Linked DNA regions of Canis lupus familiaris. The protein of the gene in region 2 interacts with the protein of the main gene of each other region in a biochemical or structural test. Links are inferred from orthologs where the notes say so. Each region holds a gene or a part of one and is shown on either strand. Other genes may lie near its edges.

What was found. The genes of interacting proteins can lie anywhere in the genome.
Region 1: the proteins of LMNA (region 2) and EMD form a complex in vitro, tested with the Homo sapiens proteins (4 studies listed by BioGRID and IntAct, with this or other methods). The link is inferred for Canis lupus familiaris from reciprocal best matches to the Homo sapiens genes LMNA and EMD.

What each region holds. Positions count from the first base shown.
Region 1 is NC_049260.1:123,237,298-123,241,345, forward strand, and holds EMD (emerin), read right to left. Parts: upstream 2,808-4,048; 5' UTR 2,719-2,807; coding exon 2,637-2,718; intron 2,550-2,636; coding exon 2,442-2,549; intron 2,280-2,441; coding exon 2,202-2,279; intron 1,975-2,201; coding exon 1,841-1,974; intron 1,408-1,840; coding exon 1,334-1,407; intron 1,257-1,333; coding exon 923-1,256; 3' UTR 526-922; downstream 1-525. Other genes in the region: collagen alpha-1(I) chain-like, read right to left, coding at 3,202-3,528, 3,591-3,950. UniProt on the Homo sapiens protein: Stabilizes and promotes the formation of a nuclear actin cortical network. Stimulates actin polymerization in vitro by binding and stabilizing the pointed end of growing filaments. Inhibits beta-catenin activity by preventing its accumulation in the nucleus.
Region 2 is NC_049228.1:41,702,063-41,706,135, forward strand, and holds the start of LMNA (lamin), read right to left. Parts: upstream 2,840-4,073; 5' UTR 2,628-2,839; coding exon 2,272-2,627; intron 1-2,271.

The DNA of each region.
Region 1 (4,048 bases), on a different chromosome or scaffold from region 2:
AGTAAATAATACGTGTGTACTTTGCAGGTGGAGGTGCTCGCCTCCCGCACAGAAAACCTGGAGATAAGCAAGAACATAGGCAGGTGAGGGGTGGGATTTACACAGGGGTGATGCGGCATCCTGTGGGCCTCTCCCCCCCCCCGGACAAGCGGCCGCCCGGGAGGAGCCCGCCACTCGCCGCATTTCCTCCCTGTCCACCTGCCCTTGGGTACTGAGGCCGGCTGTCGGCTCCTCCCTGTCGGAACATCTGTAGCCAGTGCTGTGCACGCACCCTCACCTGCATTTATGGGGGAGCTCTCTGCATCCCGTGGGGGCACGCTTCTTTGCCTAGTTACAGCAGCTTTGGGTCACGAGTCAGGGAGCAAACCCTACCAGTAAAGCACAAACGTGCCCGTGGGTAGCATGCGATCCCTACCCCAACCCCAAAGCAAGAAGGGAGAGCGAACAAAGCCAGATGTTGCTCGTGGAGACCCAAGGCCTGGAGGCTCCCAGCCCAAGTCCTTCCCAGCAAAGAGAGCCCACACGTTAAAAATAAATGGTCTTTTTATTGTGTCCACGAAAACAAAGTCAGGGTGGCCTGGGTTAATCCCCCCCGACGAGGTGACAACAGACAGGAGGCATGCAATGACAACAACCATGTTCTCCTCTCCAGGAGAAGGGTCTTACCCTCCTGGGCCCTGGATCAGAGGCAAGCAGGACCAGGAGACTCCAGAGGAAGGCCTGCCCGGGCCCGCCATGCCGCGGAGGGCCTGGGCTTGCCACCTCCTGGGCAGAACGAGGCAGGGGAGCAAGCACTGCCCTGGGCCAAGCCCAGCACACCGAAGCTAGAACACACAGAAAAGCCCCCACCCCCTCCCCCAGCAGACACTACTAAGGCAGTCAGCCAGGACTTCCGGGAACAGCTGGCCACGAAGCCAGCCCCTCAGGGCTCCGTCCAGAAGGGATTGCCATCCTCAGCCTGCATGGAGTAGTAAACAAAGAGCAGGAAGGCAGCAAAGACCAGGAACAGGAGCAGCTGGCCCCAGAGTGGGACCTGGCGGTCCTGGCCCAGACCAGCCCCAGGGGCCTGCTTTTCTGGCCGGATAGCACGACGGGTGAGCCACGAAGTGGGGGAAGATGAAGATGAGGATATGGGAGAGGTGGAAGAGGGTGTGGGATAATAGGACAGGCCCAGGGAGCTTCTGGAGATGTTGGAAACAGGGCGGTAGTGCACGATGTTCTGGTAGGCGCTGTCCCGGCCATACCCGGAGCGTTCCCTGAGGCAGAGGACAGCAGGTGAGCCAGGGGGCCTGCGCCCAGAACCACCCGCTGCCTGGCCCTTCCTGCCACTCACCTGTCCTTGCTGTCCTCTTCAGAAGAGAAGAGACTGTCATCGCGCACCTGCAGGTAACAGTCAGGGAGAGGGGAACTGGCCAGCAGAGTCAGCAGCCTGTAGCCTGTCCCGTCCTCACTGCAAACTAGCCTAGCTGAAACACCCGGACCCTGTTCCCTCCAAAACCCTCCTGAGTTACCAGCCTTAGCCCGGTAGGGCTTTGTCACCCGCTCCACAACTCGACAGGTATCCTGGCCGCCTGCACCTTACTTTCTGCCCCGGGGGGTCTGAGAAAGATCTCAAACCTAGATCCCAGGTCAGGGTGCACGGCGTCCCAGGTGCCCTAGTGTTAGGTCTGACACTCCCCCAAGGACGGCCCTGCCAAGGGAGGTGTGCACTTACCTTGCCTCTCGGGAAGCACAGGGCCTACCGCGTGCGCCCCCCCCCCCCCCCCCCCCCGTCCAGGTTTTGTCCAAGCCCAGCTATGACCCCCACAGGTTGTATGCAGGTGCTCGGCAGCCAACTCACCTGGTGGTGAAAGGTGTCCGAATCTGCGAGTGAAGCTGATGGCTGGCGGAAGCCCTTGGAGGAGCCCACAGGCTCAGGGTCCCCGTAGGTCCTGGTGCTCAGGTAGCTCTCCTCGTAGTAGTCATCGCCGTAGCCTTGGGAAGGGGGGGAGAGCGGTAGCAAGGTGCACAGTGGCTGCGCCCACCTGGCCCTAATCTCAGTCCCACGTGGGAGCCTGTGGCACCGTCTCTCCCCTCTGGGGCTGCTGAGGATGACGGGCTTGAGATCCCAGGTCCCCCCAACACCAGGCTCCCTGAGGGAGGGGGTAAGGGTGACAGGGTGCCCCCCCCAGGGTGCCCCCCCCCCGCCCGCCCAGCCTTACCCTTGCTCTGGTAAAGCAAGGCGTCTTCTTTCTTGGGCAGATCGTACATATCCGAGTCCACGGATGCCGAATCTAAGTCTGAGGGGGGGGGGGCGGGACCATTTGCCCCCGGCTCCCCTCCCTTCTTCCTGTGCCCCTCCCAGCCACCGCCCCTGCCACACCCTCCGGACCCCGTGCCCCCCGTCGCCCAAACCCCGTCCCCCTGGGAGGCCAGGTGGAGATCCGGGGCGGGGGCCTCACCCGAGAACCGATAGGAGAAATTGAAGGCGGACGAGTTGGGGGGCGACAGCCTCCGCCTCTGGGTCTCGTACTCGAAGATCTTCTTTTCGTAGAGCTTGCGAGTGGAACCTGGCCAGACACGGGACGCGGGGCGTCAGGGCCGCGGGCCGGACCCCGGGGGGGGGGCGGGGAGGGGGCGCGCTCGCCGCCGCGTACCCACGACAGGCCCGTGCGGGATGTTGTACTGGCGCAGCACGGCGGCCAGCTCGGCGTCCGACAGGACCGCGTAGTCGTCCATGGCGGGCGGCGGGGACCCGGGGGCCCGGGCCTGGCGGGCGGCGGGCGGCGGGGAGCTGGGGGGGCCCGGGCCTGGCGACGCGGGCCCAGCTACCGCTGCCTCCGAGCACGGCGGGGGCGGCGCGAGCGTCTCGGGAGCGGCAGCGCTCGCGTCACGCCTGCGTCACGCTCGCGTCACGGCCGCGGGCTCTGCGGACTGCGCGCGGGGCGGGGCGGGGCCGGGCCGGCGGCGCCGGCGCGGAGCGGGGGACCGTGGGAGCGGGCGGGGCGGGCGTCATGACGTCAGACGTCGCAAGCGGGCGGGATAGGCTGGCGGCGGCGGCGGGGCGGGGCCGCGCTCCGGAGGGGCGGGGCCCGCCGGCCGAGGGGCGTCACGCGCTGGCGCGCAGGGGCGGGGCTCGAGCGAGGAGTCGGGCTTGCGGGGGCGGGGACGAGCGTGGGCTCGCCGCGACGTGGGGGCGGGGCGGGGCGGGCGGTCGAGGCGTCACCGGCTGGCGTGTCGGGGTCGGGAGGGCGGGGGTGGGGACCTACGCAAGTCGAACCGGCAGAAACCGGCCAGGACAGGAAAGCGGCGCAGGACTGACGCGCTGGGCGCGGCTCGCGCTCCCTGAGTCACGCGGGCTCCGACGGTCCCCGCAGCCCCCTGCCCCCTCCGCACCCCGCGCTCCCCGGCCGCCCCGGGCCGGCCGCGCCTCCGCCGCAGCGCGAAGGGACCCCGATCCCGAGAGCGGGCCCTCGGGGCCGCGGGGCCCAGGCCCGGGCAGCAGCCGCCTCGGCCCCCGGTGCCACCCCGCCCCGCTCCGCTCTCCACCTGCGCCCGTCGTCCCGCAGGTCCCCAGCGCCTCCCACCCTCCCTCCCTCCCTCCCTCCCACTGCGCCCGGGAGGAAATGGGGCACTGGGCCAGGAGGCCGCGGGCACCCCAGGAGCGGGCATCCTTGCAAGGCACTGGGCGTGCCCGTGGGCGCTGGCAGGGGGCCGAGCCCGGCGTGCGGGCGGCGGCCAGCGTGCGCCCGACCCCCGCGCCAGCCACCTGGGGCGTCGGGGCTTTCCTCTGCTGTCCAGGGCGTCCCCGTGGCAGCCTGGGGGGGCGGGGAGCCTTCAAGCCCCCGACGACCTGCTGGGCCGGCTCTGCGCGCTTGGGCCTGGGTGGGCCCCGGGGTGAGCCGAGCACAGGGGGCCCCGGCGTACTCGCGGGTGAGCGCGCGAGGTTGCAAGGCCGTGGAGAGCCTGCACTGTCATTAGGAATTCGTGAAGGCCTTGGTCGCAAAGAGCTGTTCTGGGGGGATTGGAAAGGTGGTGACAATCATATTCTAAATGAAGCCAACTCAGG
Region 2 (4,073 bases):
TCACACTTAGGGTCCAAATGCTTCAGACTCTGGAATAGACTGAACGTGTGTATGGGTACTGGGGGGGGGGGGGTTTCTGCGTGGAGCCTATAACCCAGCCCAATGAGAGGGCGCCCGAAAGCCCTGGGTGTAGTCAAGGTACCAGGCTGGGCCGGGGATTGCCACAGGGATCTCATAGACAGTTCTGCATCCCAACCAGAAGCCCAGCCCTGAACTCTGAGCTCTAATTAAACATTAAACCAGAGGACACCTTCTCTCTAGGCTTTAGTGCGAGGAGTTACGACAATGCTTTTCTTCCTTTCCCAAGTTCTTCATTTTCCTCTTCTCTGCTTCACCTTGAGCACAGCAGACATAAAAAGCAGCAGCCCATCCTGGGGCCTCCCACTGGAGACACGGAAGGGGACCCACACCCCAGTTGAAGTCCCCTTTGTCTCCACCCTGCCTCCCAGCAGCCTGAGATCCAGGTGTGCAGACCCACCCCCTCTCCCAGAAGCCCAGCCTCCCCAGCCAGGATCACAGGGGAAGAAAGAGGCAGATGGCTAAATATAACCAGTCCACACACACACCACCCCCGCCCCTGCCCCACGTGCGCACATACCCGCCTGGCGGCCCAGGCCTGGACAGCTGCACTAGGCCAGAGGCAGAGACAGACAACCTGGCGTGGTGGGGCTAGCCAGAGATCGCAGAGTCTACTCATCCCGTTTTCCGATCAATGTCCTCCCCAAAGAAAGACCTGCTGAGAAAGCTCGTCACAGGAATCAGCAGTGGGGGGATTTGGTCACTGAGCAGACTAATTTGACATAGATTCTCTGCCCCCGCCCCCATCTTGCCTCCTGTCTGTCCTGCTAGCTCAGTTGTTCCTATCACTACTGCAAAAAGACGGGAGTGATCTCCTTCCATGGTGTCTCCAAAAAGTCAGCCTGTCTGTGTGTACTGTCTCCACCTACTCTTCCCAAGGGGATGGGTACCCACGCCCACCGGGCCAGGGGCCTGGCCGGTGAAGGGCAGAAAGCTCACTGGACACATAGAGGCTCCCAGGAGAGCAAGAGTTTGGAGAAGAAGATTGAAAGGGGGGGAATGAGGGGACATCAAGCCACGGGGCCTCCTGTCCCAGGGATCTCAAACACCCTAGTGCTCTCTGGCTTGGGTGTTCATAGAGAAAGAGGTAACAGAGAAGAGGAAAACAAATTTTCAGGGGCCAGGAAAAGAGGGCCTGAACTTCCAGGATCCAGAGGCCTTTTTAGAAAGGAGGGTGGAGTCAAGTAGGGTGGGGTAGGGTGGGGCTGGGATGGGTGAGGTAGGAGGGGCCTCAAGCGGCCAACGGCTGGATTTCAAATATGTCACCTATTCCAGCAGTTTCATAAGGCGAAGATCAAAAAACCTTCAGTGGCTGAGTGGATGGGCCACAGCAAAGATTATTCAGATTTGGCCAGGAAATGAAAGTGGTTCACCCCAAGCAGACAGGCCAGGAGAAGCAGCCCCCAATGTCCAAGACACCAAGCAGAGGGCCAAGGGGGTGCACCAGACCTGGGTATAACACAACTTCCTGAGCCTGAGCCGGGAGCCTCTGCCCTCGGTCTCCCTCCCTCTCCTGCATTCCTGGGCCAAGAAGGCCAAGGGCTGTGGGAGCTGCGGGGGAGCGGAGCTCCTCAAGCTGTTTAGAGGGCCTGTCAGAGCCCAGGAAAGGTCCCAGACCTGCAAGTAGTGAGGGAGAGCTTCCCAACTCTTAGAATCCTGGAAAGAGTTGTGCCAAGGAGGTCCCCTCCACGTCCCTGCCTTGGTAACCTCTCTCCAGCACCACTGAACGCCCGCCAGCATGGGTGCTTATGCGTCCAGAGACAGTCTGGGCAAAGTTGGCACACTGCCAAGTCAGCCAAGAAAGTTTTAACAGGACCATTTCACCCATTTCAATGTGTCCTGAGTGTCCAGATTTCTTGAACTTAGCAGGGCCAGCCGTCCTCTGCCCAGGCCCCTGCCTTCAGCTCCAAAGGGCTGGCAGCCCCCACCCAGACAGACTGTGGGCCTACCATCAGTCCTTGCGTGGCCCCGATGACCCCACCGTTCCCTATATCCACCACCCTCTCCCAGAGACCCCTCCCTTCTCAGTCCTGTCTTGACAGTTTCCCTTGGCACTGCCAGTCACCCGCTGGGGCAGTTCCGGGGAGGGAGGGGACTGGAAGGCCGAGTTATGGGCCGGCTGCTGTGGGACCAGGGCGACTGTCCGCCCACCCTCTCCGGTCCCACCCCGCGCCACCACCTGGGCGCACTCACCGCGCTTTGAGCTCCTTGAACTCCTCCCGCACTTTGCTCAGCTCCAGCTGCAGGCGGGCGCGCTCCTTGGCCACCGAGTCGAGGGTCTTACGGGCATCCCCGAGCTCGGCCTCGTAGGCGGCCTTGATCCCGGACACCTCGCGGCTGACCACCTCCTCCGACTCGGTGATGCGAAGGCGCAGCCCCGCGTTCTCCGTCTCCAGAGAGCGCACACGGTCGATGTAGACCGCCAGGCGGTCATTGAGCTCCTGCAGGTCCTCCTTCTCCTGCAGCCGGGTGATGCGGGTGGGCGACAGCGGGGTGGAGCTGGCCTGCGCCCCGCTACGGGTGGCGCGCCGCTGGGACGGGGTCTCCATGGCCGGCAGGGTGGCAGGGCTGCCCGCGGGGCAGAGGTCCCGGAGAGGGCAGAGACCGCTCGGGGTGGGAGCGCGCGGGCCGGCGGGCTGTCGGCGGGCTCCTGGCAGGCGAGGGGTCTGGGTCGGGCGCTGTCGGACCTCGGGATCTGGGTGCGCGGCTGTGGCTGCGGCGCTCCCGCGGACACTCTGAGTCACCGACGCGGGGCAGCGGCTCTAATAGGTCTAGGGAGTGGGAGGAGGGGCCGCCGCTCTTAAAGGGGCCGCGCACGTCCGCAGCGGGAGGCGAGGGGGCGGTGGGGAAGGGCGAGCCCCGCGGGGCGGCGGCTTGAGTGGGGCTCCACCCCGCCCTGCGCACCCGCCGGGCCTGGGGCTTCTCCCTCCTGGATTCCGCCTGCTCCGGGCTCCCGGTCCAGCCCCGACGCTTGTCCCCTCGGACTCGGGCCTTCCTGTGTAGAAGAAGGCCGAGCCAAAGGGTGCGGGTGGGTGGGCAAAGGGCAGGAGGAAGAGAGAAAGCGCCAGGCCGGCAGATCCAGGAAAGGTGGGGGAGGGCTGAGGCTGGTGCCCATGGGGTGACTCACTCTCCTTCCACCGCTGGCTCCCCCTCTCCTTCCCATAGTAATAGTGAGTCACCCCTGCCCCCCTCCACATGTGGGCAGCCCATTCAAAGCAGCATCTCTGTGTGCCAGGGTGGGGTGGGGAAGGAATGCCTGGGCTCCCTGGGGAGCCAGGCTGCAGGGAGTTTCTGGGTCCTGAGTTCCTTTAGCCCTCGGTTTTGGGGCAGGGACCAGAAGTTTGAGGTCCCTCTTTTCCTGTCTTCTGTTCCAACTTCGCCCTTCAAAACCAAGCACTGGGTCTTAGGCCCAAGTGCCAAGCTACATGCCCCCACAGAAAGCCAAGAGTGGGACCCAGGCACTCACCCCATCCCTTGCCCCCTTCCTTCAGACTCAAGCAACTGGAAAAAGAGGCTGCCTTGGTTCCTCCCCTTTCTACTCCTTCTATCCCACCCTGCCAACTCCAAGACTGTACTTATTTTTTTTTTTTCCAGGACTGTACTTATTTTAATGGATAATTTAAAACAGATACCAGAGCTGTGCGTGCATTCATCACGTTGCCAGGACACCAGGTCCCAGATTCTTGTGGTTCCCAGAGGGGCCTGGAAGGGGGAGCATGGCAGGGGCTGGACAGCCAGTGGTGGGTCTCTGTCCTGGTTTCAACCAGAAAGGCAGTACTAGGGGGGCTGGGACAGCAAAGACCCCACAACCTTCCTGGCTGCAAAGGCCAGCCCTGCACTCATCTCTGCATCCCTCTCTGACCAGGTCTGCTTTGCCACTGGATCACCCAGATCCCCAGGTTTCCCCACCCCAGGCTCTGGAGCCTCTATCCTCAGCCCTTACCAAGGACTCCTCTGGTTTGTCTTCTACTGGCCCCCCATAATCCTGGCCCTGG